4 linked regions of the Mytilus edulis genome follow. The protein of the gene in region 1 purifies or fractionates together with the protein of each later gene. This does not show direct contact. Links are inferred from orthologs where the notes say so. Each region holds a gene or a part of one and is shown in the gene's direction. Other genes may lie near its edges.

Evidence for each region.
Region 2: the proteins of probable global transcription activator SNF2L2 (region 1) and SWI/SNF-related matrix-associated actin-dependent regulator of chromatin subfamily D member 1-like purify together in Drosophila melanogaster (affinity purification with western blotting; 8 studies listed by BioGRID, with this or other methods). This does not show direct contact. The link is inferred for Mytilus edulis from reciprocal best matches to the Drosophila melanogaster genes brm and Bap60.
Region 3: the proteins of probable global transcription activator SNF2L2 (region 1) and protein polybromo-1-like purify together in Drosophila melanogaster (affinity purification with western blotting; 3 studies listed by BioGRID, with this or other methods). This does not show direct contact. The link is inferred for Mytilus edulis from reciprocal best matches to the Drosophila melanogaster genes brm and polybromo.
Region 4: the proteins of probable global transcription activator SNF2L2 (region 1) and SWI/SNF-related matrix-associated actin-dependent regulator of chromatin subfamily B member 1-A-like purify together in Drosophila melanogaster (affinity purification with western blotting; 7 studies listed by BioGRID, with this or other methods). This does not show direct contact. The link is inferred for Mytilus edulis from reciprocal best matches to the Drosophila melanogaster genes brm and Snr1.

The regions. Positions count from the first base shown.
Region 1 is NC_092344.1:5,668,214-5,676,115, forward strand, and holds the start of probable global transcription activator SNF2L2, read left to right. Parts: upstream 1-4,894; 5' UTR 4,895-5,015; intron 5,016-7,902. UniProt on the Drosophila melanogaster protein: Transcriptional regulator. Acts as a coactivator, assisting one or more dedicated transcriptional activators of ANTC and BXC homeotic gene clusters. Can counteract the repressive effect of Polycomb protein.
Region 2 is NC_092345.1:21,238,199-21,245,163, reverse strand, and holds the start of SWI/SNF-related matrix-associated actin-dependent regulator of chromatin subfamily D member 1-like, read left to right. Parts: upstream 1-3,951; 5' UTR 3,952-4,031; coding exon 4,032-4,106; intron 4,107-6,965. UniProt on the Drosophila melanogaster protein: Involved in the recruitment and site-specific anchoring of the Brahma complex at specific promoter sites.
Region 3 is NC_092344.1:83,201,521-83,209,199, forward strand, and holds the start of protein polybromo-1-like, read left to right. Parts: upstream 1-4,661; 5' UTR 4,662-4,776; intron 4,777-5,201; coding exon of another isoform or gene 5,202-7,058; intron 7,059-7,679. Other genes in the region: transmembrane reductase CYB561D2-like, read right to left, coding at 1-125, 380-417, 4,484-4,586; uncharacterized protein, read right to left, coding at 5,202-7,058.
Region 4 is NC_092349.1:8,147,995-8,155,421, forward strand, and holds the start of SWI/SNF-related matrix-associated actin-dependent regulator of chromatin subfamily B member 1-A-like, read left to right. Parts: upstream 1-4,425; 5' UTR 4,426-4,460; coding exon 4,461-4,556; intron 4,557-7,427.

The DNA.
Region 1 (7,902 bases):
CTTGAAGTATTGTATATGAACCAGCTTTGTAAGCAAAAGTTATCAAAAAAATAGCAAAGATGATCAAATAATTGTTAAGAAAACAAAATGTCGAGGTAGATTGGCACTTAAATGGCTTCATGGTGCCAACAAATATGACCTTTGCATGATTAAAATTGAATAAATCTTTTTTTTCTCAAGTAAAATGATAAATTTCATTGACTTTAATATGAAATTATGTATTAAAAAGTAAGTATTTCAAGATATTTCTCTTATATATTCAAAAAATTGTAAAAAAATTATTTGTGACTTTTTGTCCTGTGACTTTTTGTCCTATCAAATTTGTGACTTTATGTCCTGTGACTTTTTGTCCTGTGACTTTCTGTCCGTTTACCAAAATGGCGAGGGTTGCTAAGGATATCTTGATTTCGGGAACTTTCTGCAGCTTCCATTTCATAAAGCTGTTCTTCGGTATACTCTGGCTCTAGTGCGTACCCAAATTGACCATACTCGTCAAAAGCTACCTCTCTTGACGACCTGGAACCACTGTTAGTACTATCATTCTCCGAACAAGATATTTTTAGTTATGATTTTATTTTTTGGACCATATATACACTGTCCTATAGAAACAAGCACGCACAAATCATAAGAGAAAAATATGTGAATAAGTTAATTGAATTATCAAAGTTAATATCCTTTGGTCTCGAATGTATGTTAACTAATTAATGTGTTTTTATAGGCTAGCTCAAATCCTCATCCAAATAATATAATCTATATGTAATAATCGTTTCCTACCACACCAAGATTAAATGCCAAGCGGTAGACATATTTTAGGTACTAATTAAGTAATTAAATGAACAATAGATAACAATCATTAATCATTAATGTGCAAAGATTTAAAAACAAAAGTATTTTTTCTTTGTTCGTACATATTATATTCCGCTTCGGTAGAGTTGTCTTCAGATAGTTTCAGATATTAATTAATACATGGGTTTCAAAAGTCTAAATGTAAGTGTTCTCGTACATTTTTTGGCCTGATAAAGACAATCAAAATGCTTTGGTAAAGCTATTTCTAATTTCTAAGTTCCCCTTTTTTATGAGACATAAATCAAGGACAAGAGGTGTATATCATTTCATTCTGACACATGAATTAAGTTTCCCGTCTTTAACCGAAAATTGTTTATTTCTTAGTAAATTAATTTATTTGAATTCAAATAAATAATAGCACCAAATATAATTAAATAATTCCACGGCGATCTATTTTCATTTGTCACCAACTTGAATATGTAGTTTAAATGTGTGTATTAAATGCTCCCTTGTTTTATAACCCACTAATCCCAATAGACAGTCACACCTGGCAAGGTGTGCCCTAGAGGCGTGGTTAAATACCGAAGTGCAAATAACAATTTACCTTTAAACAAGCCATCTACGAGTATTGCCACAGAACCGTGAATACACACATCGTATAAACCTAGTCATAGCAGAGACAGTAAAAGGTCAATAAGAGTACACTAACATATTGTCTTTACAGATTATTGTACTTTAATTTGTTCACCTTATCAGTCCGATAATGCATTAATCAAAAATAAATTTATAACTTTTTGTGTTGTCTAAAAAATTAATTCGGATATATACGATTAACATAGAAAATTTATCTCATGAATATGTACATTGGATGTCTGTGCGTTTTATCTTCTTATTATCGGCTGGTTATTAGATGAAGCATAAGTCATCGGCGCGCTTACGATTACGTTAAAATATCATTAAAAACCAAGACTTTTATTGATTGTATTTTAAATCCCGGCATGCAAAAACCAGGAGAAAACGTCACGACCTACAGGAAGTTGTTAATATTTTTTCATTAATTATTGAATTTCTCCTTTATTGCTGCACATATAGCGATAAAACTTTGTGAATATATATATTATGTCATAATGAACATATTTAAACTATAAGTAAAAAATCGTGAATTTTCCCTTTAACACTATAACATGTATAAAAAGTAGCATAACACCATAACTAATCTTTTTCTCGGGATACATTAGTTTGTTCTCAGGATATAATGTTTTTTTCGTATTTCTCAGGAAATCGTGGTACCGAATAAAGTTTTAAATCTTCTGATGTTTTTTTCTTAACCATTCTGTCTCAGCATTTTAACAAACTCTGTACTTTCTTCTATTTTTTCTTTCATCTCTCTCTTTCCAAGATTCATGAAGTATATTTTAGTGAATTTTATATTGACATTAATGCTGTTATAGCTTCTGTATCATTAGCATTGGTATTGTCTATTTCTTCTTCAGATGTGATTTCTGTAACCCCTCCCCCTTCCTATATTGGTATTTAGGTATTCACTCTCTGTGGACTTTCTCTAACGCTTACTAGATTACAAGCTATTTCAGATAGCATTTGTACAGCTCTCTTACTGTCAAAATGCTGGTCTAGTATTTGTACCAGTAGATATACATGTATCTGCTACTATTTGTATTGTCCATGGTTCTGAATCAACTGCTTCAACCCTTAACATTCATGTAGACAAACTAGTAAATTTGATTATAACAAGGTTCCCCTATAAAGCAACTTTTTACAATTAATGAATAATATAGTTATCTTTTGTTGTGAAAAATTAATAAGAAAATAAAGAAAAACAAATGCATATGATCTTAGTAGACAAAAAATGTATACATGTATAAAAATATCTGTCAAATATGTGATGGCATACATGTAAATGCTGAATTTACAGTGTTCGAGTCTAATGATTTGCTTGAATTATTACTCAGATGATAATAAGCTTTTATTTTATTTTATCTATATTAAATTATATAAAATATAGAAATATGATGAAATTATTAGCAATTGTTTATTTGTGCAAGTATAGTAATGACTTTTAACTGGTTGTTAATTGATTTCACAATTAATTATTATCATACCTGCCAACTTTCACGATTTAGGCGTGTACTACACGATTTTGACCCTTTGTCACGATTGCACGATCGTGATCGTGAAAAACCCTCTAAAACACGATTTTGTGAAAATCAACACGAAAAATATGACTGTTCCCGATTTTGAACTGTGTACAATGGAATACAATTGTGTTCAGCCAATCAAATTCTATGTTTCTCATGATCAAATTAATCAGCCAATCAAAAAAGTTTTCTCTCAAGAATATTCTAACATCCTAGATTTTGAACTTGTGTTGTATTCCTCTGTTTGTTCAAATCGTGAACATGGCAAATGGTTTTTCACCTGCAAGGAAGTTTTTACACAAAATAAGAATAAAAGCATGACTGATTGACAAACTACAATGATGCAGTACTACCATAAAGATAATAAATACTAGTTTATTCACTAATTTATTGATATTACACTTGCTGTAACAAATGTTATAAATTTATGTATTCAATTAAATTACCAAATTATTTAAAGTACAATGTACTGTTCTTTATTTTTCACATGGACAAAACAAAACCCCCCACATGGAAATCTCTTAAATGAGGGACTTCTCTTAGTCAAGGGGTCATTTTACTCTTGTAAAAAATAAAATAGAAAAATCATAAAATGTAGATTTTTTAACCTAAAATTGGGAAATTCTGACATTATATTTAGAACAACTTTCTAAATGAAGGGTCCAATTATTTTGAAAATATAGAAGATATAAGGCCAAGAACATATCAAAATTCTTGGACATGTGTTGACCATACTGTATAATACCAGATAGATCATAAGATGTATAGTTCTTTGGGAAAAGTTTCTTCAAATAATATGAATATATATGTGCTCATTTTTACTTAAAAAGTGGGTTTTAATGTCCTTACATTGAGGGGTTACCCCTAAGTGTTGTTCCTAACCTGATAAAGGTCCTTCTTTGTGCATAATTTTAAATTGGAAAAGTAAACAATTATTTAATATCCTTACACATGAAATTAATTCCTGGTCTTGCAGCCACATGTTCATCTTTTCTACTGATATATAATAACTAGAATCATGCAAATAAAATTAAGAAAAAGGCATGTAAGCTCATCTCACAAATATGACACTTTTTCTAGACCACAAAACAGCACACTCAAAATAGTTGTCGCAAAGTATTAATGTAACCTTTGAAATTGTTGTCGTGCGCTAAAACCCCCATGGACACTTTCAAAAGTTGGCAGGTATGTATTATCCTCTATAATCTTTTTGAGTTCATTTAATATCCCTTTGATCTTCAATATAGTCTAGTCAACAATACAACTACAATACTGGTATATCAGTAATGTACGAGTATTGCTGGTTTTTTTAATAAAAAGTTACAATACTGGTACAAAATTTTTATACCAGTATTGTGGACAATACTGGTATACCAGTATACACCTTATCGCTATTTCCGCTTGACCCGAGAATCTGTTCCGCTTGAACTATTGGCGTCATACAACAATCACTTTTCCATTGTGGCGTCAGATATTTTGAATTATGACGTCAAAATTTTACGGGACCCTGTGTGATGTCCAGTAATGGCGGACAAATAGCGATAAGGTGTATTGCGATCACCAACTACAGGAGATCCTGTTAAAGTGTTACTTTGGGGGGACAAATAGATGGTCGAATTGAATACTCATTTGGAGACGCTAGGGGACGAATCTGCTTGTGTGTGAAGTCGGTAAAGAGGAGATGCCAATGAAAAATCGTGCAAGTTACAACATGCAGACCCAACAAAAATCAAATAAAGTTTAAAATCTATTTGCAAAGTGTTTGTGCTTAACGTGAATAAACGGCGATAAACTGTTGAATTTTGATAAAATTTTCAAATCCTAACAGTTATATATTAATCTAAATGTTACCTTTTAGGCAAATTAATGTAGCAATATTTGTAATGAACCGCTTCTATGGACGCCGGAAGTTTCAATGGGAGACAACTTTTAAATTTAACCTTTTTTTGAGGTCAAGGTTGAAGTGACTTGCGTCAGATGAATGCGCATAGAAAATAAAGCCATCGACAACTCAACAAATGCTTTGATTATTGTTGACCTAATTATAGAATTTACCTTTATTTACAGACACCGGTAAGTTTACTTGTGTATTGGATTAGTCTTTGGCGCGGTTTCTAATTATTTATGATCGTTAAACACAATTTAATGATTTATGTGTGTTGTAAAGTCGGTTCTTTGTTCGTGTCTGTGGTGTCGATTCTCTTCTTGGTGGAAATATTTCCATTGAAACTACCATTGTGATTTAGCCATCTATGTTTATAGACATCATTCTATTCCATCGTAGTTATAATAATGTGTACAGTATATGATTATGAAGTCATACTATCAAATTCAGAAATATTTTTCAGCAATATTCAAAAATATTCATATCATATCATATAGAATACAAATTTGTATAAATGATTTGTTGAATTTTATTCATTGTTATAATTTTATATTCTTTTACCCTACTTAACTTGTGATCATACATTTTGTATAATATAAAAAGGTTCAAATTATAAATTTATATGTGCTGCCTTCTGGGGTTTTATTAATAAGCTATCAGAAACGACAAGAAACATCAACATGATCAAGAAGATTCATCTAGCACAAGAAGACTAATTTAGGGACAAGAAAACTAACTTATAAGCCTTAAGAAATTCAGATTATTTATTTCAAATAAATAGATATAGAAACGTGCATCAAAGTGTTTTAATGCCCGTGCCGTAGCGGATAATATAGTAGCCTGAAAGTTAATATTAGAAAGACTAAAGTCATAATTTTTAATAAGGCTGGAAGGAAAATTCAGGAGAATTTTCGACTGCAGAATAACTTGATTGACTGTGTCGCTCATTACAAATATTTAGGTGTTCACTTTACTGCTTCTGGAAGTTTTCATCTAGCTAAAACTGAACTTTATAATAAGGCTCTTAAAGGGAAACTTCGCAAAAAAATCAAAAATTGATATTATGTTTATTCTGTATAAAAATTCTCAAATTCATAGATATTAAAGTTTTATTCTGCTAGATAAGAGATCACCATCGATTTTAAATTTAGAGTATCAATTCTCTGCGGTCGGCCATTTTGTCACCTTCTCCGATTTGCAGTCAAGATATGTCTAAGGACCAAAACTACAGTAACCCGATGTAGTCGTAATTGCGTGTCGATAGCTCGTCAATCGTACGGTTGTTTTATCCGACTAGTTAACTAACTTGATACGGAAATTTTTTTTTTTTTTTTTTTAAATAACCAGGATCTGTTATTTTTAGACTGATAATATAGGAATTAGTGAAAAAGTCAAAATTTCAAATCATAAATAAGTCTTCCGTGAAACTAGAATTGTTTTCGAAAATCTAATTAGTTCATAATTCTTTTATGTAATAAACTTTATTCAAATAAATTAGGATCTTCGCTCCACTGATCACCCGCATGGCTAAAGGTATTACTCCCAAAGGTATTGGAGGGGGTGTGAGGTGACACGTCCAGGTATTCAAGCGATTTCCTGTCGAGTTTGCAAATTCATGCATCGTTTCACTTCTTAGTGTATTGATAAGTGTACACGGCCGATAACTTATAACTTTCCATTTTGAACTATTAGGTGTATAATATACATATCTATCTTGCGTGTCCGAAAGTGATATTACTAAACTCATACGCTTGTTTATGAATAACATTTCTGGTGAAAAGAAATTTATTTATAAAATATACATGTATGTAATATATATACGCAACTGGAAGTACACTAATACCGAGGGATGTGAATATTTTCCAGGAAAACTATAGAGTATCAAAGTTTCAAATCAATTTCGGGATTTATTTTCTCTCTTGATATTCAATGACAGCAGTTTGCAGAATAAACTGCTTGTCCGTTTTACTGGTATTCTGGCCAGTTGAAACAGACTTATAATTACATTAAAAAATAGGGAAAGATGACATTTAATTCGTTCATTTTTTTTTAAACATCGTTGGTCAAATAGCTAAAGTATTATATATAGTTACGGAGTGAGACGAAGAGTATTTTAAGAAGGACATTCCCGATTATGTATAAATTTTGTTGATGTTTTTCACACTTGAAAAGCATATCTGTTCGTAATTTGTTGATTCCATTCCAATTAGATCCTTTATTTCCTGTCAATTTTTTAAAACATTTTTTTTCAAATATCTGAAGTATTCATGTGTTGTGAGATTTAAAATATTTTGATGAGCACATTAATTCCTAAATAGGTAATTAAAGATCACTTTGGATTGACTAAAATATATAATTGCAATTGTTAATGATCTGTTTGAAATATTTAAGGCTGCCGATCCTAATTTGAAATAGTACAATTTTTAGTTCATAAACTCGTGTTTAGAAGGCTATTTTTATTTATAAATACTTCAATTAAAATAATTCAGTATTTTATCGTTACTAAAGTATTCAAAAGTCATAATTCATTAAAAGTGATCTTGTGCAAAATATAAAAAATATACAACAGCTATCCAGTTATTGTGCGATCTTATTATTCCCGTTAATTAATTTTAATTAATTTTTTTTACATTCATGTGTCTGAAACTTTGTCTGACTCCCGTTTACAATTGATACGAAATGTTATTCACACCTGAAATGCCAGTGAACCGTGACGCCTAGATTTCACTGAATGATGATCAAAAGATTAGAATTACATAATGCTAATCTTTTAATTACCTTGAGTTAAACTACGCATTCCACATTCTTTAGGTGTCACAAAACAATACACATTTTATTGTTTCCACCGTACAAGTAAGTGAAAATGATTGCTGGAATGAAGCAAAAAGGTCAGAATACAAACATGTATTTTTAATACACTATCGATCATGTCAGTTTCATATGTTTGTTTAAAGTATTTTTAGAAAAAAAAAATCATAAAAATGTTCTATTGTATGATTTACTTTTATTATTAAAATTCGTTTTAAAAAATCCACACGATCTAATTTTAAAAGTTGCATGGCTATCACTTATTTT
Region 2 (6,965 bases), on another chromosome or scaffold:
CTTTACAAAGTCCGAGAGTCAATATAATCTAAGTTAACAGTTCGATATAACGTTTTGACCGAGAACGTTAATGATTTTGCAAGAATGATTTTATAAAGAGGCTTTTTACATTTTATTGAAAATTTCCATATTTTTTTTAACAACTTCATTGATTGTTGCATTAGCCTTCATGTATTCTTAGCGTCTGCATTCAACATAAAGCTCATGGGATTTCCTGATAAACTTGCAAAAGTTTTCTTTTTGTCTGCTGCGGCGCCGGCTTCCTCTATGGTTCAGTGTTACTGTAGTCATAAATGAAAGACATCATTCACAGTGCCTGGCACATCTGTTGTTCCTCAATGTACTATCTTGGTTCCAGTCTTGTTACTTATATATATATATATCAATGACCTGTCAGTATTGAATTGACCACTTACTAAGAAGGCTGGGTTTGAGGACAAGGAGGCTTTAAAATTATACTTTTGGTAACAAATCATCATTGGTTATGATAAATGAAAATGAAAGAGGACACTGACTGACATCCTGACTTTTATTATCACTGGACTAGTATATATTTGTTTAGGGGCCAGCTGAAGGACGCCTCCGGGTGCGGGAATTTCTCGCTACATTGAAGACCTGTTGGTGACCCTCTGCTGTTGTTTTTTTATTTGGGCGGGTTGTTGTCTCTTTGACACATTCCCCATTTCCATTCTCAATTTTATTTTAGACTATATATAATATAATATATAAGAAAAATGTAAGTAAAGAGAGATTAACAGCTTCGTTGCTTTCTATCTAGATAAATGTACTGTGCTATCCGTCAGCTAAAAGAAACAACCCATTTAGCATGGCTACATTCTACATAATCGATCGTACACTAGAATATGTAACCTCTGCTAAATACCGCTGTACCATATACATGTAGTACAGTCATACCTCGAAAGAGAAACACATATATAGTTGATATTAGACAATATACGTATACCGTGTCTTGAAATGTGAAATTTATTTGTATGAGGCTTAGAAACGGGAAAATGCGAGGTTCTATCATACTGAAATCGATAAAAAAAAAAAAAAAAAATAATAAAAATATGAAACAAACATTTGAAAAAAAAAGTGTTGGGAATTTCCCCCTTGGGGTACCATTTTTGGGTATTTCCCTATGAGCGTAGTCTAGGCGGTAAGCATTGACAATTTAAGGAATTAGAAAGGGAAAATGAATTTAATTAATAATATTTGATAAACATGGTATATAAATTACCAATTTGAAGACATAACAGGTTTAAATTCATAAAATTTTGACCATTGTTACTACATGTTGTCATGGTTGCGACGTGAAGTTGTAAGTAGGCGGGGCTTATAGGTGAGTTGAGGTCATTGACGTATAAAGCTAACGTTTATACGTATAGCTTTATCTGTATAGTAAAATAGCTGATTGCAGTATAATATATCATCCTACAGTACCGCAATAAATCAATGTGGTTCCGTAAACATAATCTGAAAACACAAATCATCGCGATTTAAAACCCAGGGATATCAAACACTCGTTCTGTCAAAACTTGAATAGTCTTGTTTTGCTCATTTATATACAACAGAGAACCAAGTCGTAACCCGAAATTGAGATGGTCTAAACATATTCACCACAATAAAATTAACGTCACTGACAGAAACGTATGCTGTATTCATCATACAGCCTCGTACTATAAACATGTAGCTCAACTATACTTGTGACCAGGATTGTTGATTTTGAGTTGCTTAATGTCCACTGGCAAATATGTCATGCATGTCCTGGACAAGCAACAACCAGGAAACCCGATTCACTCACACACAAGAACATGCAATGACTCATACAGACACTCATACTCTTCCACAACACAATACCTTCCTGTATTACTTGTTTAGGCTACAACAGTCTTTGATATCTTAAGTGAACAGCTCATTTCTACTTTTCGCTATCCTTGTTAAAAAAAAAAGCTTAAAACCAGATGGTATATAGTGTTTGTAATTTGATCAGAAAAATGTCATTTTCATTGCATTAATAAGGTAGATATGGTGTCTTCCTCCATCTTGGATTTGGAAATACCAGAAAACAAGGTCTAGATCTTTAATAGAATGTGCAAATTTTTAGAGTAGTGGGTATTTCATGCGTAAGAACTTTCATTTCAGTATGGTTGTATTTTACAAAAAACAGAAAACTTTTGTTTGATAAATTTTTTTCCAACTTTGCCACATAAGGGAAGGCAACTCAAATGCAAGGACAGATTATTCAGATTTTACAATAGAATGTGTTAGGAATTTACCTTTTTTTTTTAATATAGCGAAAAAACGGGTCCGGTGATCCCATTTTTTTCATTACTTAACTGAAAGCATACTATTAAAGCTATCTTCTCATATGTTATCTCAAAATTCTATGGTGTAGTTTACGCTTTATTGCAGAAAATTGGGTTTTCCATACATAATCTATACAAAATTTGTCAATTTTGAACACCATGTAGCGGGAAAATAAGCCCCGTGACCCATTCTATTTTTTTTTTAAAGCATGATTTAGACTATATTTTGGCAAATTATTAAAAAAATATATGGATTGTAATTTAGACACCCCATCTACCTTAAATAACTATTTTCTGTTTAATTTGGAGTGAAAAACCCATGGATGCAACAGTTTGACATCACCGAATGTCGTAACATACTATATAAATAAAAAGACACAGTTTGAGTGGTAAATTACAGAATACTCAATACAGCAATACAGGATATGATCTTTCAATCAGTTTAAATGAGATCTGGTGCTTGCATGTCAGTAATTGCTAGAAGTCCTTTGTTAATTTTGTATCATCGTCATTTTGCTTATAGTTTCTTTTGCTGCCTATTCTGACATCGGACTCCGACTTCTTTTAAACTGAGTGTTTACTGAGCGTATTGCTGTGTGTTTGTTCAATTTACATTGGCTAGAGGTATAGGCCGGGGTTGAGATAATAGTTATCAAAAGTACCAGGATGATAATTTTATACGCCAGACGCGCGTTTCGTCTACATAAGACTCATCAGTGACGCTCAGATCAAAATAGTTAAAAAGCCAAATAAATACAAAGTTGAAGAGCATTGAGGATCCAAAATTCCAAATAGATGTGCCAAATACGGCTAAGGTAATCTACTCCTGGGGTAAGAACATCCTTAGTTTTTCGAAAAATTCAAAGTTTTGTAAACAGAAAATTTATAAAAATGACCATATAATTGATATACATGTTGAACCCCGCCGCAATTTTTGAGCTTGTCCCAAGTCAGGAGCCTCTGGCCTTTGTTATTTTTTTTTTAATTCTAGTTCATTTATATGCATGTTTAGAATTTAAGTATGACGTCCATTTTCATTAAACTAGTACACATTTTATTATAAGCCAGTTGAATTCCGAGTCTTGTTCTAAATTTGATGTCTTAGAAATGGTTACTCCTATTGTAATACATTATGTTCTATATTATTCAGATTTAGATATTGTCGTACATTGATATTTACCATTTGATACATGTCCAACACAATATGTTTATAAAATTCCATTAGTCTATTATATTGTGATTTTTTTTGTTAATGATAATGTAATAAAAATAATTTAAAAAAAACTGACTTTGTTTTGACATGGTAAAATTTCTTAATTAATATGCAAAATGATACATTATAATTCTATACATATCAGTAGTAACGAGAAATATACATTATAAACATGCTTATGACATATGTGATAGTTTTAACCACTTAGACTTTATTGGAGCGAGCTAAGTTGAGTTGTAAAAAATCAGAGTCACACATGATCAAAAACCGATTAAAAAATATTAAGTTGAGGAAGATCGCAATAATCAGATTTCTGAGATTTTTATTTTTATTTTAAATATATGCCGAAATTTAACATTTAAAAGTGCCGAACAATAAATGGGGCGAAACACTATCTTTATACATCATCTGAAGACCGAAAATATATATCTTGTGGTAGTTAGTCATTTCATGGTCACGAGAAAAAACGAGATTTCAATTTACCAAGCGAAGCCGACAAAGAAAATCAAATGCAGCCACAACAGCGGTCGTTCCCAGCACAGGGACCACCAATGAGACCATTTCCCCAGCCAGGTTATTCCCCTGTATGTATATCTTCTTGTCAAAGATTAGTGAGATAAATATACATGTGTACAACTATGAAAGTTAAGAACAAAACAAAAAGGGGGATGGTAATGCTTAGACTGTATATCACTTTTTAGAGGGAAATACTTTATTGCTTTATACATACTAGGTATCACAAAATTAGGACCATGCAACTGATAATGCTTATCAGTCGTCAGTTATGGTGCTGTCTGATGTACAGTATAGTATACACACTCCAAAGACTTATGGCTTTACTTTGCCTGTGGTTAACTCTTATAACAAATAATGGGTTTAATTACAAGATAATCCATTTCCCCATTTAAATTTAGTCACAAAAGTCTCGTGATAACGTCAGAATTTATGCAGTATTGAGATAAATACAGCAGCACTCCATGAAAATATCAACATACATGTATTCAAGTTGTCATAATGATCAACTTACAGTTGGTTATATGAAGGTGATGGAGTCAAACATAAACTAACTGTTATATGTTAAATATGTTAAAATCATAACATTTGCTTAATTAACCTGTGTAAATAAAAAAAAGCATGCATATAGAAAAATGATTAAATGTTAAGAAACCATTTTTCTTATCTCCACTTATGCACAACCATAAGTTTCCAAAACTCACTTGTATAATTAATTTGTGTGAACATATTCACAACAAACTTTCATTTCATGAAAATTTCTTAATGATTGATATCACCCTCAAGATTTTTGCGACTTACATTTGTGTCCAAAATTAGGGAAACCTATGTTTTCACAGATTTTAAATGTCTGGGGATTTCATGCCTAGCTACATGAAGCTTCTTAAAATAGTTCATCAGTGATCGGGAAGGACGTGCGCCCTTCGCCTATAGCGCATATTGACAAGAAATGGCGCATATAGTGACAAATGTAAGCGCCCACGTGGCGCAAGATATTTTTCACTTCATTCTGATCCGTTTAGATATCGTCAAATGGATTTCTGATCGTGTTCTGTGCCGCCATGTGTGTGTGTACACAACTGTGTAATGTTCCTCCAATAATAGGAGCACCTATATATTTTTGGGACGTGTTGGGTGTTTTCCTATGATAATAGAACCATGCGGTTTAACGTCTCGTGTGTTTTCTTATGGTCATAATAGAACAAGCAATAGCCTTTCAAAAAGTGCTATATTCGACTCTTAGCTGATGAAAATTGAAAGAACTCTTGCTTTGTAGATTAATTCATTTATTAGAATAGCCACGTGCATCAATCAACAAATTTTACCACACACGTGAGGTCACACGTTATGAACTTGTAGTATCGTTTAACGTTGTTGTTTACTCCAGAAGGTTCGTCTATTTATAGATAAAAGTTACCTGTGTAAAATCTAATTGCTAAAATAGAGACGACAAATCCGATACTCTACGGGATTGAAAGACATTTACTAGGTTTGGATTGTCCTAACCAATCAATAAATTTTGATTATTCAAGTCTCGTAATATCTTCCAATCAGGTAGCAAGAAAAATTCACGCCCTAAGTGTCCATCGTTCAATTCTTAATATCGATTCCTAGGAGTCCATAACCATGCGGTCTAACTGATAACCCCAAAAACGTAATTAACCATCATTCATGATATAATTTTTTATAAACAACTTTAAAATTTGTGAAATTTGGCTAGTACTGACGAGATTTAACTCTAATAATAATCTCATTTGGTTTAGTTTGCTTTTATTTCGATTGAAAAACCCCAAAGCCTTTTTATGAATACAGTTTTTGTCTCCATAAAAGACGATAACTGTCCTTGTCATTTTTTGGTCTTTGGCTCATTTTGATATTTTGTAAGTAGACTTCAGCGAATTGTTGTTTTGTTCTATGAATTAATGGTACTCTCTACTGTTATTCTTGTCACCGTGATGAAGTTATAATAATACAAGAAGTGCAGAGGAAATGCCTGAAATGTCCTCTGATACGGAACGTCTGGAATAAGTATGGTATCGACGAAGACCCAAATTTAATGTACAAAAAAAAACCATGAACATGAACAAGGCAACAGTACCAGTTTAAACATTGTAAATAAAGGTTAACTTAAATATTATATTGTTCGATTTGGAAAACGTTATTGTATATTCATTGAAATTGAAATTACAAAATCACAGGAGCAACATTCATGATATTATTCGAAATCATAAAGGTATAAGTACCAACATCTATTTGCCAAAATATACTGATACTTTTTCTTTTTTTACAGAAGTCAATTCAAATGGCCCACTCATTTTACAACATGACCCATTATTTTTTTAAATGGCCCATTGAATTTATTTTTGAAGGGCCCTGGGCCCATAGCGAAAAAAACCTTCCAGATCACTGGTTCATGTGATTAAAAGAAAGATTTTATACCAAGGAATACAGTTCAGTTTGAACCAACCAGTTTGTCAATGATGCAGTGCGAAAGTAATTTCATTTTGATAAAATTTGCTTTAAAATGTAGCCAATGATCATGATTATACATGTATCTAATATAATGCTGTCATAATTTTTTTAATATGGAAAATGGTAAAACATTGGATTTGAAATTTTAAATTATAAATTTATGCTTGGATACAAGACAGAAAATTATATTTCTGAAGTTAAATAAATTGTTGAAAGATTATGGGTCTAACAATGTATTTTTTTCTATTTTTGTCCTACATGTTCATGTAATGTCATGTATGTGTGTAATGTTTATCTTATATATTTTACATTTTTGTACTTACCTTGGCTTAGCATTTTATGACAGTGTATAAGATCTAGAAGTCTTTATAGAGTTTCATATGGTCTAATTGTTCCTTAAAGGGAAACTTCGCAAAAAAATCAAAAATTGATATTATGTCCATTCTGTATAAAAATGC
Region 3 (7,679 bases), about 78 Mb from region 1:
GCACACACAACTCCAAAAAACATCATGACCCCATGTATTGTCCCTCGAATCAATCGGCTCCAACTTAAAAACAATGAGCTTTGTTGGTTAAACAGCATTATAGCTTCAAACATAAGGAACATCATCTGAAATAAATGTAAAAGAATATTAAAACATCGATCACTTGCATTAAATGTAGGGTAGACACTATCTTTCTTTATTTTACTTTCAACTCGAACCATATACTACTAAGGGGAGACATTTCTCTGTTATTACAAAATGTAGAGTTTTGAAGTAATGAATGATCATGAATAAAAGTAGACATTTTTTCCTCAAAAAATAATATTACTTAACTCATGCAAGCCAATATTTCTAGACAGTTAGTATCCAAATTACTTACAGCTATTGTCATTAGTGTAGGATGCCATGAAAATAGACCTGAAATTTAAAAAAAAAAAGATGTTCATCTAAAAAACAAAAACTATATACATGTATAAAATAAAAATAACTATTACAAAATTAAGTTATAGATTATAAACCATAAAATCAGAAGATGACCGATAATCCGTAAATGGGTGGACATTCCCTCTCTTTAGGAGGCAATTTTTATAGTTTATCCGTCTTTTCAAAATCGCTTTTTAAATAAAAGTTTGCTGCTGCATATTCATCAGGGATCTCCATGGATGAAAATTGAACGATGGAGGAACTTTCACCATCATAAACCGTATCTACGATGTACAGCGTAACGCGATCGAAAGTTTTTCATCCCTCCACATAAGGATAGGTGAACATGCTAATTCATTGCTTATTTGAATTATATTTATTTGAATTCTCATTATAAATACTATAGTATATAGAAGTATATATATTTTCAATAATTGCCATTTGTAACCCTTCAAAGGCAAGCCCTCATGCCCCCTCCCTTTCCCTTAGTCGAGAATGACCAATAGCTATCACAAAGGTCCCAATGTAGTTTTCTTGCTATTTTCGGTAATTGTTATGCGGGTTAAAATTCATGTGGAGCTTATTTTTCACGGACATTGTCAAATTCAGAATTCATGAACCCATTACCGGTATATATGGCTGGTTTGCAGCAACGACAACACGAGTCGTACGGGTTATGTAAAAGGTTAAAAAGATTTGTAAAGCGAACATTGTCAAATGAAAAGGTTTTTAATGACTTTATCTAGAAAAGCGATGCTATGCAACATGCATTTTTCAAGTCGGAATAGAAACCGGAAACGCGGATGTATCAATTTGATTGTAAACTACGAAATGAATTCGGAATTACGATACGATATTTATTTACAGGAAATATTAAAAGTTTTTACTTTTTAACCTTTAAAGTAATTCTATATTATCGTGACAATACAGCAGTACTCGAGTTATTTGCGATGAAATAATAATTACTGTTTTACGTCTTATTTTGAACTTCTTAAAAAGGGGGATGCTGATTGCGTAAGTCAAAATAAAAGCACGTGTTTTACTTGTTAAACTATGTAACTAGACTATTAATTTATTTATTTAATCTGAATTATCATAAGCATTTGCGGAAACTTAATTAAATAATTCGACAATTGAATCGTCTATCTTCAGATAATATTCTCCTGTCTGCTTTGTTGATCTACCTGTACAAGCTCAGGTACAAGTGATTAGCGATCTTAATCCGGATATCCCTCAGGCGTTAGAACTGGATTATACTATAAAGAAAGCCCGAAGGTTATGCAATTACATGCATTTGATTATAATTGCTAAAAAAAAATGACGTCAGGCTATAAAAACGATCACAGTTTTGACGATGGCGCAAGTCATTTAACGATGGCGCCAGACTTGGGGTAATTGTAATTGTAATCGTTAATCAGCTGTAATTGATTACAATTTTTCAAGTAATCAGTGTAATCATTAATCAGCCAAAAATCTGATTACATGTAATTTAATTTAATCAATTACTTTTCAATATACCCTGTAATCATGATTACTTTTTGATTACATTCTGATTACAATGAAAAAAATCTAAAATTGTGTTTTTGGTCATTAAATGAACCTCTTTGTTCATATTGGATAAATTTTTAACATACTAAAATGGTTTGGTTACTTTAAGCTTGTCTACTTCAGTAAAGAATAAACTGTTACAGTATTGAAAAGTCATCATTAGCCTAAGCAGAGACATATAATACAATTATATACCTTTTATCTTGGTAAAAGATATTGTACATACATGTATATTCATCATTTTATAATGATCTTCATATTGATATTTGATTATAACTGTTATAGATATATATTCAAGTAATACTTTTCTTTAACCCTGAATTATAATCTTTTGTTAATTTTTGTGATTTTTGTCAACTTTAAATTGACAGGTAGGAGACTAATTAAGGTTTGTTTTTATTGCAATTACCAATTGAGTATAGCTGTAGGGAAATATATATGATAAAAGATAAATCAGACATGAAAATTTATCTAATTAGCACAAACTAAATTAAAAGTTGGACAAATATGTTTTTAAACTTTTTTTTGTATTTGGACTGGACGTGTAAAATGCAATGGTTTTTAATAAATACTTTAATACATATTGTTTACAATTTGATTACACATTTCTATTAAAATTCAACATAGTTTTAACTGGTAACTTTATTTCAGCCATATTTAAACTGCAACTTGGAATACATATAAATTATGAAAGAGGTCAAAAGACAAACAAAAAAACTCTTGATTATGATATATCTTTATAAAATTTAATTCAAAATAATTTAGAGATCATTGGTGATAAAGTGTAATGTATATATATATGTAGTGAAATTTGGTGTTTATTTAACTAGATGACGTTTAATTTGAAGTTATCATTTTATAATTGACTCAAATAAAATATATTCTCAAAAATGCTATAGTTATATTAAACGTTTATTCATCCAAATCATCCAAATGTTTTGTTTTTAAATTTATTGTAATCAGATGTAATCATGATTACTTTGCCAATGTAATCATTAATTTAATCAGATACTTTCAGAAATGATGTAATCATTAATTTAATTTAATCGTACAAATGACAAAGTAATTGTAATTTAATCAATTACATTGAAAGTAATCGGACCCATCTCTGGATGGCGCAAGACATTTGAACGATGGGGCAAGTCATTTGACGATGGCGCAAGACATTTGAACGATGGCGGGGCACCATCGTTAAACAGGCCATGGAGATCCCTGATTCATGGTTTCTTTATGCTCCTCTGCAGACCTATAAATATATGTCTGATGTAACTTCAAATCACCAACACATATATTGATTGAACTGCAGAGGAGCAATTATTTTAATTCTATTTAAGAAAGTAATAATCCTATATTGGCTGAACAGACGTGTTAGTATATCTAAGCGTAGATGACCTCAATTTTAATCGCTACATTTATGGTGCCATGACCAGGAAACACACTCAAATCAATAAGATCAGGGAACAGAAGCATTTGATGACCTGAAAGGTATTTTTACCTTTGTTTTGATGAACAGTAATAATCAATCACAGAATAGATTTTCAAAACAACTCCATTTTTGACAGGTGGTAAAACTGAGGTGATTTTTGTCTTAAGGTTTATGTACCCTTCTGTAGCCATTTTTGTACGAATTTTTCAAACCTCAATTGTATCAAAACTAAAGATATAATAAATAATAGAGATAGGCCATTTAGTACATGTTCCAAGGGGAAACTTGATGCAAAGCATTATTTTTTACTGTTTCGTTGCATTTGATAGAAAAAGAGGACTTTGTGGCAAATAAATCAAGATTTTTATAGAAAATCCACAGCCTTTAATACAGAGATTTTTGTTATAAAATTTGAAACATAAATTACTCACTTGATTTTCTATGATGTGCTAGTGTTTATTTTTTACAAAAAGTTCTAAGTAACCTGTAAATTCCAAAACACCTCGTGCTGAGTCACTAAAGTCGAGCGCACCCTAAAAGGTGTACTTGATTTTGGCCATATTTATACTTGTCTTAACCAATAACTACATTTGTAAACTTGTTTTAAGGAAATCAATGCTTGCACTGCATGCAATAATCCTATATCTATCAGTCATCAAATTGCCAAATATGAGAGTACAAGGATAAAGGCTGTGGATTTTCTATAAAAATCTTGATTTATTTGCCACAAAGTCCTCTTTTTCTATTAAATGCAATGGAACAGTAAAAAATAATGCTTTGCATCAAGTTTCCCCTTGGAATATGTACAAAATGGCCTATCTCTATTATTCATTATATCTGTAGTTTTGATACAATTGAAATTTGAAAAGTTCGTACAAAAATGGCTACAGAAGGGTACATAAACCTTAATCATAAATGTTTACAGGAAAAGGGAAATTATAAAGTCTCTCTCATCTTTGTTTTAAAATAAAAATGGAGCTGTTAATACTTGAGCCTGGAACAGCCGAATATATCATAAATCCTGTAAAAAGGATAGTGGCAAAGTGTGCAACCATTTTTCAACTGTGAGTTTCAGCCACAACTCACAACTCCAAAACTCACTATCATGGGAAAGTGTTGATTTGAGACAAAAAGATACCTTTTCTAATGGAACTGTTTTAAAAAAATATTGTGTGCATATAAATTGCATTTAATCATCAATTGTTTTATTTTCGTTTAAATTTTCAAAGAAACAAGTAGTTTTATAAATTTTCAGTAGAAAAAACATTTATTTTGATTAAATTTCCCTCATCACCGCACATTGTAAACAAACACAAAAGTGAATCAGACGATGCAAGCATCACATTGACGCTGATGGACGGCGTCTGTCACAAAGAAAAGTAAGAAAACACAACAAATGATTACAAAAACAATGCAGAAAACCTAAATTTTGGATAAAATCTAGTTTCTAATTGATGATAAATATCCAAGCATCATATATTAGTAAATGTGCTTTACGGAAAATGAAGCAGTAATCCAAAAAAACAACCTATACAGGCTATAGTTTAGGCCTTGATTTCAAAGCATTTTTATTGTCATACAAGTTTGTAAGTTTTATTTGTCTTGTACATGTTTACAATAGACACAGTGGAATTCTGATGCTTGAGCTAAATGTACACGAATTCAATTATGCCCAGCATGATACTGTTCCTGATCCTGATCCTAAGGTCAATAATTGACACTACTGTTCTCTGTGTACTATCTTCCTCCTCTTATGGTACACCGTTGCTCGAGGTAATATCTCGCGGTACTTTGGTATACTTGTTTAGGCGCAGGATCGGGAATCAGGGATTGCAAGTTCTTGGAATCTCCCTGATTTTGTAATATATTCCCCTACAATTTGCGGTGTTGCTTCGTAGGTTTCTCTTTTTGGTGGTGCTAGTATTGACTGTATATTTGTTGGATCGATGTTAAGTAGTTCCATTTGTCTTCGCATGTCCTCTCTTTCTTGTTGGTATCTTGGGCAGTATAGCAGGAAGTGTTCTGATGTTTCTTCTTCTCCGCATTCACAATATGGCGTGAGGGATTGACCGATTTGGTTTCTGTATTTGTTAAGTCTGCTGTAGCCCGTTCTTATTTCTGACAATATTCTTCCTATTTGGTTGTTAGGCTTGTCTAGTTGTGCGTCCTTACCAACGATAGGAATTAGGTTGAAAAGCTGTCTTCCAGTTTCACTAATTGTCCATCTGCTTTGCCATTTGAGTTTTGTAGACATCTTGACTGCACATCTTACATCTGACATGGTTATGACATTATACTGATCATTTAGTGATGAGGCCTCTTTTGCAGCGTCTTTTGCCAACTGGTCCGCTATCTCGTTCCCGGCTATATTAGCATGGCCTGGGATCCAAGATAGGGTTGTTAGTATGCCGTGTCTTAAGAGCGTTCCCATGCATTCTTTGATATCAGTAATTGTGTCGATGTAGTTAGAAGATTTCCAGTTCAGAGTCAAGATGCCTACAGCAGTCTGGCTATCTGACAGTATTTTAAGCTCAGAAAACTGGTCCTTTATAGTCGTTATACAGTGCTCCAGGACCATTAGTATGGCTACTAGTTCAGCAAGAAGTATCGATCCTCTATTAGCTACTGGCCTCTTTAGACTTATGCCTTGGCTATTTCCAGAATATACTACTGCTCCTGCCCCACATGGTCCCGGGTTACCTTGACATGAACCATCAGTGAATGCCACTACTGTTGAGTCTGTGCTGTCTCCTAATAGGTCCTTTACAACCTGTTTACTTTCAACAGTTTGTTCGGCTGTTCTGTTCTTTGAGCTACCTAGACGACTCCAATAACTTGGTGATCTCCTTAGCATGACATCTACACCAGCTTTGTATGTGAATTCTGGTTCTATAAGTTTGATGTCAACTTTCGTGGCTTTGAACATGTCTATGGATTGGTTTATAGCTTTACCAAATGGAGAATCCTGTTGTTCATAGGTTGCGTTGTTTGTTAAATACTGTTCTAGTTGTTGTTTAATTGGTTCTGCTATGTTCTTTGATTGTATTTTTGCCAGTTCACGTACTGATATTTCCTCTATTCTGAGGTCTATGGGTTGTATGTTGGCTTCAACTTCCATTGCCTCTCTACCTGATGTTCCTGGTAGTCCTAGGCATATTGACAAGCCTTTTCTTTGTACAGCTTCTAATTTCTTCATATTCTCTGCAGATGTTATTTGCCAGACTGGGCATGCATACTCCATGATAGATCTAACCATGCTGTTGTATATTTGGAGTAGTTTTGATCTTGATATTCCTCCCATGCTCTTAATATCTCTAATTACATATATTGCATTATTTGCCCTCTTCTGCATCAGATTGATGTGGGTGTCAAATTTAAGCTTCTCGTCTAGAGTTACTCCAAGTAGCTTCGGTGTTGGACTATATCTATAGGAGAAGGAGTTGACTTTTAATGTTTTCTGCTCTGCATCTGTGTTGCCTTTTGAGAATAGGCATACTTCACACTTTTCCAGGTTTACATTAATTCTCCATTTTTCTGTCCATTTTAAAATAGTTTTGACATCCTCTGAAGTTCTTTCTTTCATTTCCTTTATGTCTTTCCCCTTATGCCATAAAGTGCCATCATCTGCAAACTTGCAATTTTCTCCTTTTGTGTTATCCATTATATCAGCTATGAATATGTTAAACAAGGTGGGTGATAGTACTGACCCTTGTGGCAAGCCGATTTTGGTATCAAATTGTTCTCCAAAGAAGTTATTCAGCATACATCTGGCTGTTCGATTTGTGAGAAAGCTGTTTATCCATAACCAGGTTTTTCCCTTTATCCCAAGTTGAATAACACTAACAGAAAAAATAACTATAACAAAAAAGGCAGTGCCAGTGTTTTCCATCTGCCCCCGCAGTTACATGTATCAGGTCCGCTCACACCCAATAGTCGATACACTTTAGCACCCGACACGTTCCCACCCTACACTTTCGCACCCAATTTTTATTGAAATTCCAGTTCAATTATTAGATATTTTTTTATATGCATTACCAATACAACGGTACCTCGAATGACCGAATAACACTGTTACTATCTGAATAACACTTGTAATGACCGAATAACACTTGGAATTTCAATTTTAGCACATATTGGTGACTTTTAAACATTGATTATTAATTAATGAGGGGGAGGACAGGGGGGTACCCTTCTCCTTTCTCCCACCCCTGTTCTCCTTTCTCCTACCCCCGTTCTCCTTTCTCCCATTAGAATAAAACATCTCCTTTTGAGATATTTTTTC
Region 4 (7,427 bases), on another chromosome or scaffold:
AGATGACCAAGCACCTAATATAACTATTTTGCAAGAAGGTCCCCATACACACGAAGAAGACGACACGGTTATAGGAGTCGATACAACATTACAGTCTTTGCGTAGTGCAATTCAACAAGACCCAAGCGTCCCAATAAAGCGGGTATACAACAACTTTGCGAGAAATGTGGCACAAGGAGGCGGGGATCGAGAACATATTCCTGAATTCCACAGAGTCCGTTCCGCAATGACACGAACTCGACTAGCTCACGTCCCCGCTGTGCCTCATGATATTGAAAACGAACATGGTCGGAAGATAGATTTCTGTTGTACAAAAACAATGATTGGGGTGTTCTGATATATGCAACACATGAAAACTTATTGAATCTTAGACAATGTAAAGAGATATATTGCGACGGGACCTTCAGAACTTGTCCAAGGCCATATTCACAATATTTTACCATTCACGGCCGGTACCGTAATAGGGTGATGTGTTTTGTAAACTGTCTAATGACTGATCGCAGTATTGGTGACTATAGACATATTTTAGAAACACTGAAAGTCAAAATTCGACAAATCACACGGCACAGATGGCGCCCAAGAAAAGTCATCTGTGATTTTGAGCTCGCATTGATATCAGCAGTAGAAATTAACTGAGCTTCCACGCGCTCAAATTAGTGGTTGCTATTTTCACTTCAATCAGAGTTTGTGGCGAAAAGTCCAGAACTTAGGTCTTGCGGCAAGTTACCGACGACGACCAGCAGTAAAAAGCCTAGTCCGTAAAGTTATGGCCATTGGATACCTATCAATTGCTGTTGTGCGCCAGAAATTTCGTTTGTTGAGAACATCCCGTAGAACTCAGAGACTCTGCAGGCGGTATAATGGACTAAGGGACTTTCTTGACTACTTCGAAAGGAACTATTTGAACGGGTTGTTCCCTCCCCAGATGTGAAATGTTTATGAAAGAGATATGAACAACAGAACAAACAACAGCGTTGAAAGTAAGTGTTATCTGTTTATTTCAAAAGTTAATCTGACGAGAAAAAGGTCTCAATTTAATAAACTTCACATTCAGAATATTTTTTACTTAAAACGATTTAGATTTAAATTTTCGCTTGGTATATATATAAATGCACTTATACAGTTAAACTGATATGAAGGGGTTCGGGGGGCTTTAGTATAAGGTTAAAAATTTCGTAATTTTATTTAATACACAATTTTTCGTTTATTCTTTAATTATTAAACATTCTTTTTCTAAAATAGTGGAGACCATTTTACCCCCCCCCCTTTTCCGGCTACCGAAGGTGTTAAATGATTTGATTTATTATGTATAAAATCACGTCAGTACAAGTATGTATAGCTGTAGCGTTTGCTTCTCCGTTCCATATTACGAATTTGGTTTTATGTTTAAGAAAATCTTAAAAAATATGAACATAAGTGCCACCAATACGTCTATATAAACATAAGAATATGTGATATGGTTGCAAACGGGACAACTCTATCTAAAACCTAATTAGGTAGTAAATTTAAGCAATTTAAGCCTTGACTCACACAGCAAAGTAAACTTTCAAGGGCTACAAAATGACAAGTGTAAAACAGTCATGTCAAACACAAAGACGTATTTAATTATGTATCACATATTTTTACTTGATATTAATAACACTGTTTCGGTTAGACACCCTTCTTTGTGGACTTTCATAAAGACCAACAAGCAACTTTGGAGAACTCCGTGGAGGCTGTCGATAGGGTATAGGGCGATCCAGCGCCGAAAAGAAAAAGAAAATGGCGAAATCTAGAAGCACGGATGATGAGATTGAAAGAGGAATATAATAATGGAACGAGAAATTTAGACCAATACTGGAACGCAGTGTGCTATGGAGTGGTTCAGTTTTGACACTTTGTTGTATTTTCTTTAAACATTGTGTAAATTTAAAAGTGAACTTTTTGATAAAACTATTTAGTTATGAAAACTACTGAATTTTTGCTGACAATTTGTGATATTTTTCAAAGATAAATAATTCCAAATTTGATTAAAGTGTTTTGCATATTTGATGAATGAAATGCATCACCAACAAATGCAAAAAAAAGAAGCACACACAGATTAGTAACACATTCTTCTTCTAATGCAAATACAAGAACTAAATGCCGTTACCCCCCCCCCCCCCCCCCCCAAAAGCAAAGAACAAAAGAAATGTTTGCGGTAACGCTATACCACTAAATTACACCAGGAAACGGACTAATTGGTACTGTATGTTTTTATTGTGTAATTTTTATCAAATCATTTGATTTATATTATAATTATTAAATGTTTATTTGGCCTATATCAATTTGATGATTTTGGTCGTTTTCAACTGATTTTTATCGTGCTTACACCACTGCTGTCTGAGGGAATCTTGGATCCAGAAAAAATGTTTAACCCGGCTGTGGATGAAATGAAAGACGATATGAAACCTGGGGATATTACTATCGATACAAATATTCACACTAATGCTTTTTATCGTTCTTTTTCAAAGATTTTCAGAAAATTGTGCTCTTTATATGCGACGTCATCAGGCAAGGTCGCCTTTTTTCATGACGTCACAATAGGAAAATTGAGAAGAAAACAAAACATTTTGACACAATTTTCTGAAAATCTTTGAAAAAGAACGATAAAAAGCATTAGTGTGAATATTTGTAAAACTAAAGTGATGGTTTTTAGCAAGAGAAAATCGAAAATGGATTTTGATTTTAAACTTGATGGTACATCTCTTGAAATTGTAGATAGCTATACATATCTTGGTCTTTTGCTTAATTATAATGGGTCATTTGTTTGTGCAAAGAAAAAGCTTGTAGAACAGTCGCAAAAAGCACTTTTTGCTGTTTATACAAAGATTAGAAATTTACATTTACAACTTAAATTGTTTGATTATCTTGTCGAACCTATTTTATTGTATGGATCAGAAATATGGGGATTTGAAAACATTGATATAATTGAAAAAGTTCATCTACAATTTTGCAAGAGAATTTTAAATGTGAGATCAAGTACTCCAAATGTCATGGTATATGGAGAATTAGGAAGGTTTCCACTAGAAATTAAAGTAAAATTAAGAATGTTATCGTTTTGGAGTAGAATGGCTAAAAATGAAAACAAACTTAGTAGTTCTATGTATAAGCTTATTTTCAAATTACATGCTGATGGTATTTGTGAATTTAAATGGGTGTCATTTGTAAAATCTATATTTGACAACTCAGGATTAGGTTATATGTTTTTTCAACCAATACATTGATTATTCAACTTTCAAACCCGTTATAAAACAGATTCTTCAAGATCAGTTTCTTCAAAAGTGGTCCAGTAATATTGATAACTCGTCTCGTGGCGAATATTATAAGTTATTTAAATCTCAGTTTGGTCTGGAAAATTATCTATTACGTCTTCCAGAGGATAAAAGAATCTGGATTTCAAAACAGGATTAGGGAAAAAATATTCTTGAGATACACAATTTATATATATCAAAAGTATTCATGGAACATGTGGAATACAACATTATACATGATAATACGAAATACGAGAGGAGAATGATTATACTTTTTCTGTTTAAATTTGACGACATTTTTAAAAGGATATATATAAAATGACAATTATGCTTCAATTTTAAAAAGATAAAAGATATGATAACATTTAGGAAAGGGCCCTTGTTAATTTGCAAATAAACGGCACAATTACGATGGTTAAACAATGTTTGAGGTAGTGGGCTTAATTTCTACAGAAGAATAAAACATAAATCAACTTACCAGTTTCACAAAGACGATGCTGCCAGTTGTCACATGTGTCACATTGAAGAGCATCTTGTCGAATCGTAACCGTCTTCTTGAACATTACAACGTGGACGAACCATGATTGCAATTGAAGATGATCATACATTTCACCATAGTTTATATATTTTTTCTCAAAGCTTGATTTTTACAACGTTTAAGCCATGCATTTTCTTTTCGGTGAGGATGGTGATTGTTTAAGTATAACTCAATGGCCTTTGATGTTCATAGTGCCGCACTCATACCGAATTTTTGTTTTCATTTACTTCTCTATGTTTATTCTACTTTTAACAAATCCATTCTATTTTTGTAGGTATGTTATCCACTAATGAGCACTGATTAGTATATTGTGTACTCATAATTATTTTAATGTGCATATCAAATGAATTGCCGTCTAAACAATTTCAAACAATCAATTCTAAGGAATACTAATGATTATAACGATTAGCATTTGATAAGCTTATTTAAAACAATTATAATTGCATTTTATTAACAATGAAAAGTTTATTTATATGTTGCTATATAATGATATATACGAAAGAAAGTTACAATAACTATGCATATAAACATGATAAATAATATCAAATAAAGCATGGGTAAGAGTTGGTAAAAATAGGGTACGAGTTGCCGAAAGTACGAGTTGTCGTGTACCCGACTAAAAAATCTAAACTGAGTGGTCTCCCTTTGCCATGGCGTCAAATATGTTTGGGACAAAGACATTTGGTGAAAAACCTCAAAAGTTTCAGATAGAGGAAGGCGAAGAATATTATTATGTCGGATCAGAAGTATGAAATTACATGTTGTTAAAGATCTCAGTCGAGAAAATTTCAGATTTAGTGTAAAAAAATCGTTTTTCTATCGAGAATCGTAGAGTACCCATGGCATAATTTATTTCTGTAACTGTTAGTGTTACTAAATTTGTGGCCTTCCTTATCTAAATTTCATTTATGGTTAGAGTTCGTTTAAGGGTAGGCATTTTGTCAGGGTTAGCACCCGTTAGACCCAAATTTGAATATTCTTGTTCTGTTTGTGACCCTCTGACACACAACCAATCCGTATGCAAAATTGAGATGGTCCAACAACAAGCTGCTCAGTATGTCTGCAAAACCAACATGAGTAGTGTTACAAACATGCTCACAACATGGAATTTACCATCACTAGCAGAATGGAATGTAAACTACACATAAGATTAGTTATGATGTACAAAAATCATGTTGCAATACAATGAGTTCGTGGTCTAGTGGTTAAGACCGATGGCTACAGTGCTGAAGGTCCATAGTTCGATTCTCACTCGGGGCGCTAAAAATATCAGTACGTCAGAAGGGTAATTTTCACCCTCTCACACACATCACTGGTACCCAGACCGGAGTTTAAACTAAAATGGGTACTTTGGGGGCCTCGGTTGGTCAAAGTTGTTCCCTGCTTGACTTCGAGATCAATCTTCTGATATCTCTCTGGTTTGTCTGTTTCCACCGAGTGGCCCGGTGGTTCTCTCCGAGTACTTCGGCTTCTTCCACCATAATAACAGACTTCCTGGTGTCCTAGCACTCCCTCGGTGTTGGATGGGGATTGAGTTGTCCTTGTAAAAATAATTGTCGTATAAATTATACGTTAGTGACACATCTCCATTAATCCCGATAGGGAGTGTACATGGATGCCACTGTACCCTCACATGTAAACCAGTCAGGGGACTTACTGAAATAAGTGATTTTTAAATCACTTATTTGAGTAGCAAATTCGAGGTTTTGTCACAAATTGGGATTATGTAGTTTTTTCAAAATTTGAAACACATAGGTTTAAATAATATCTTTTAATTAGTAAAATTTAAAAAAAATGAACTTTTTGCTTCTTTTAAGTAGCAAGGTTTATGCCTTTGATGCTATCATTTAGCTGAAAATTCTATTTTAGTTGAAAAAATGCTATAATAATGGCTTTACATAATGAACTGATACTTTCTTAAAAGATTTTTCCCAGCAGTGGGAGTATTTTTCCTGTGAAGTTCAAGGTTTCATCTTTCAGATTATGTAATAAAATTCTACTGTTCGCAATAAAAATTTCACTGTTTGGGGATGTTTAAATTAGTGGGGGTTATTAAAAGAATGATACTTAAAGAAGTGATTTTTGGGAAGGAAATTGAGGTCTGATACTTAAACAAGTGATTTTTATGTCATTATCCTAGATTCAGGACAAGGTCATCACCTGAAATGACCTGGTCATCCTAGACAACACAGATGTTGGTTCTGATAAGTTTAGAAACATAATTAGTCCCTGGATCATTAGTATTCTATATTTAAAGCTACAATAAAATTAAATCACTTCTTCTAGTGATTAATTTGTACTACTTAAATAGGTGATTATTAAAGAAAGACAACTCTAACTTCCAATCTTTATGGAAATAATGTTACTTGAATCAGTGATTTAGAAAATCATTTATTTAAGTAAGTTCCCTGACTGTAAACATGTAGAACATGCCTCATATCATAATTTCTCTTGCTGAGTTGCTGAGATTATATTAATGCTGTAAATAAACAAAACAGAGAACAGCTAAAGTGAGCTGTTCCCTGATGCTTTCAATGGATTGTGCCTGAACCAGTACCAGAGGGAGATCGTTCCACTGTGGTATTGTCATGAACTGAAATTATGAACATCTGTACAAGTATTTTGATGTATGAATATGCCTATATGAAAGTGGATGTTTTTTTTTCTAGTTCTTGGGTCTGCTTTTATGGGGGTTGCCCGGATATTCCGACACCCTGTTAGTCTGATGGAATACACCTTATTGCTTTTCCAACTTGACAATAGAGTGAGTCCCGCTTGAACATGTTGAACTTTTGACATCATACAAACAACCATTTTTTTCATTGTGGCATCAGATATTTCCTATAATGACATCTAAACTTTATGGGAACTAGTGTGAAGTCGAGAAATAAACGTATTTAAACTTTTGGTATTTAGCTGTATCTTGCCTCCGAATGACCTTAGATCGACTCAGAATCACCTTTTGACATCAAGCAACAATTACTTTATTTCAAATTGTGACGTCAAATATTTTAAATTATGATGTCAAAGTTTATTGGAACCTGTGTGATTTTACGTAATGGTGGACAAATTCATTTTGCATACAAGTGTAAATATGTCTATGGCGGACAAATAGCAATAAGGTGTATGTATGTATGTACTGGTAAATGCCTCCGATATCCGAAGAATCGAGGGGTTCTTCGGATATCGGAGGCATTTACCAGTACATACATACATACACCTTATTATGGAAAGCCAACGGGGTCAAAATTCTTAATTCGTAACTTGTCAATTCGTAACCGTTGTAACTGTGTAATTTCTAAATTGTTAATTCGTAAATTGTTAATTTGTAACTTGTTACTGTGAAATTCATAATGCTTAATTCGTAAATTGTCAATTTGTAACTTGCACCTTTGTAGTTTCAACATTCTTAATCGGTAAATTGTCAGTTTGTTACTTGTAACTGTGCAATTTCATAATGCTTCATTCGTAAATTGTCGATTTGTAACTTGTATCTTTGTATCAAAATTCAACATTCTTCATTAATTGTCAATTTGTAACCTGTAGATTTCAAAATTCTTTATTCATGTTATTGGTAAATTGTCTTTTTGTATATTGATGTTTTGTAACTTGTAACA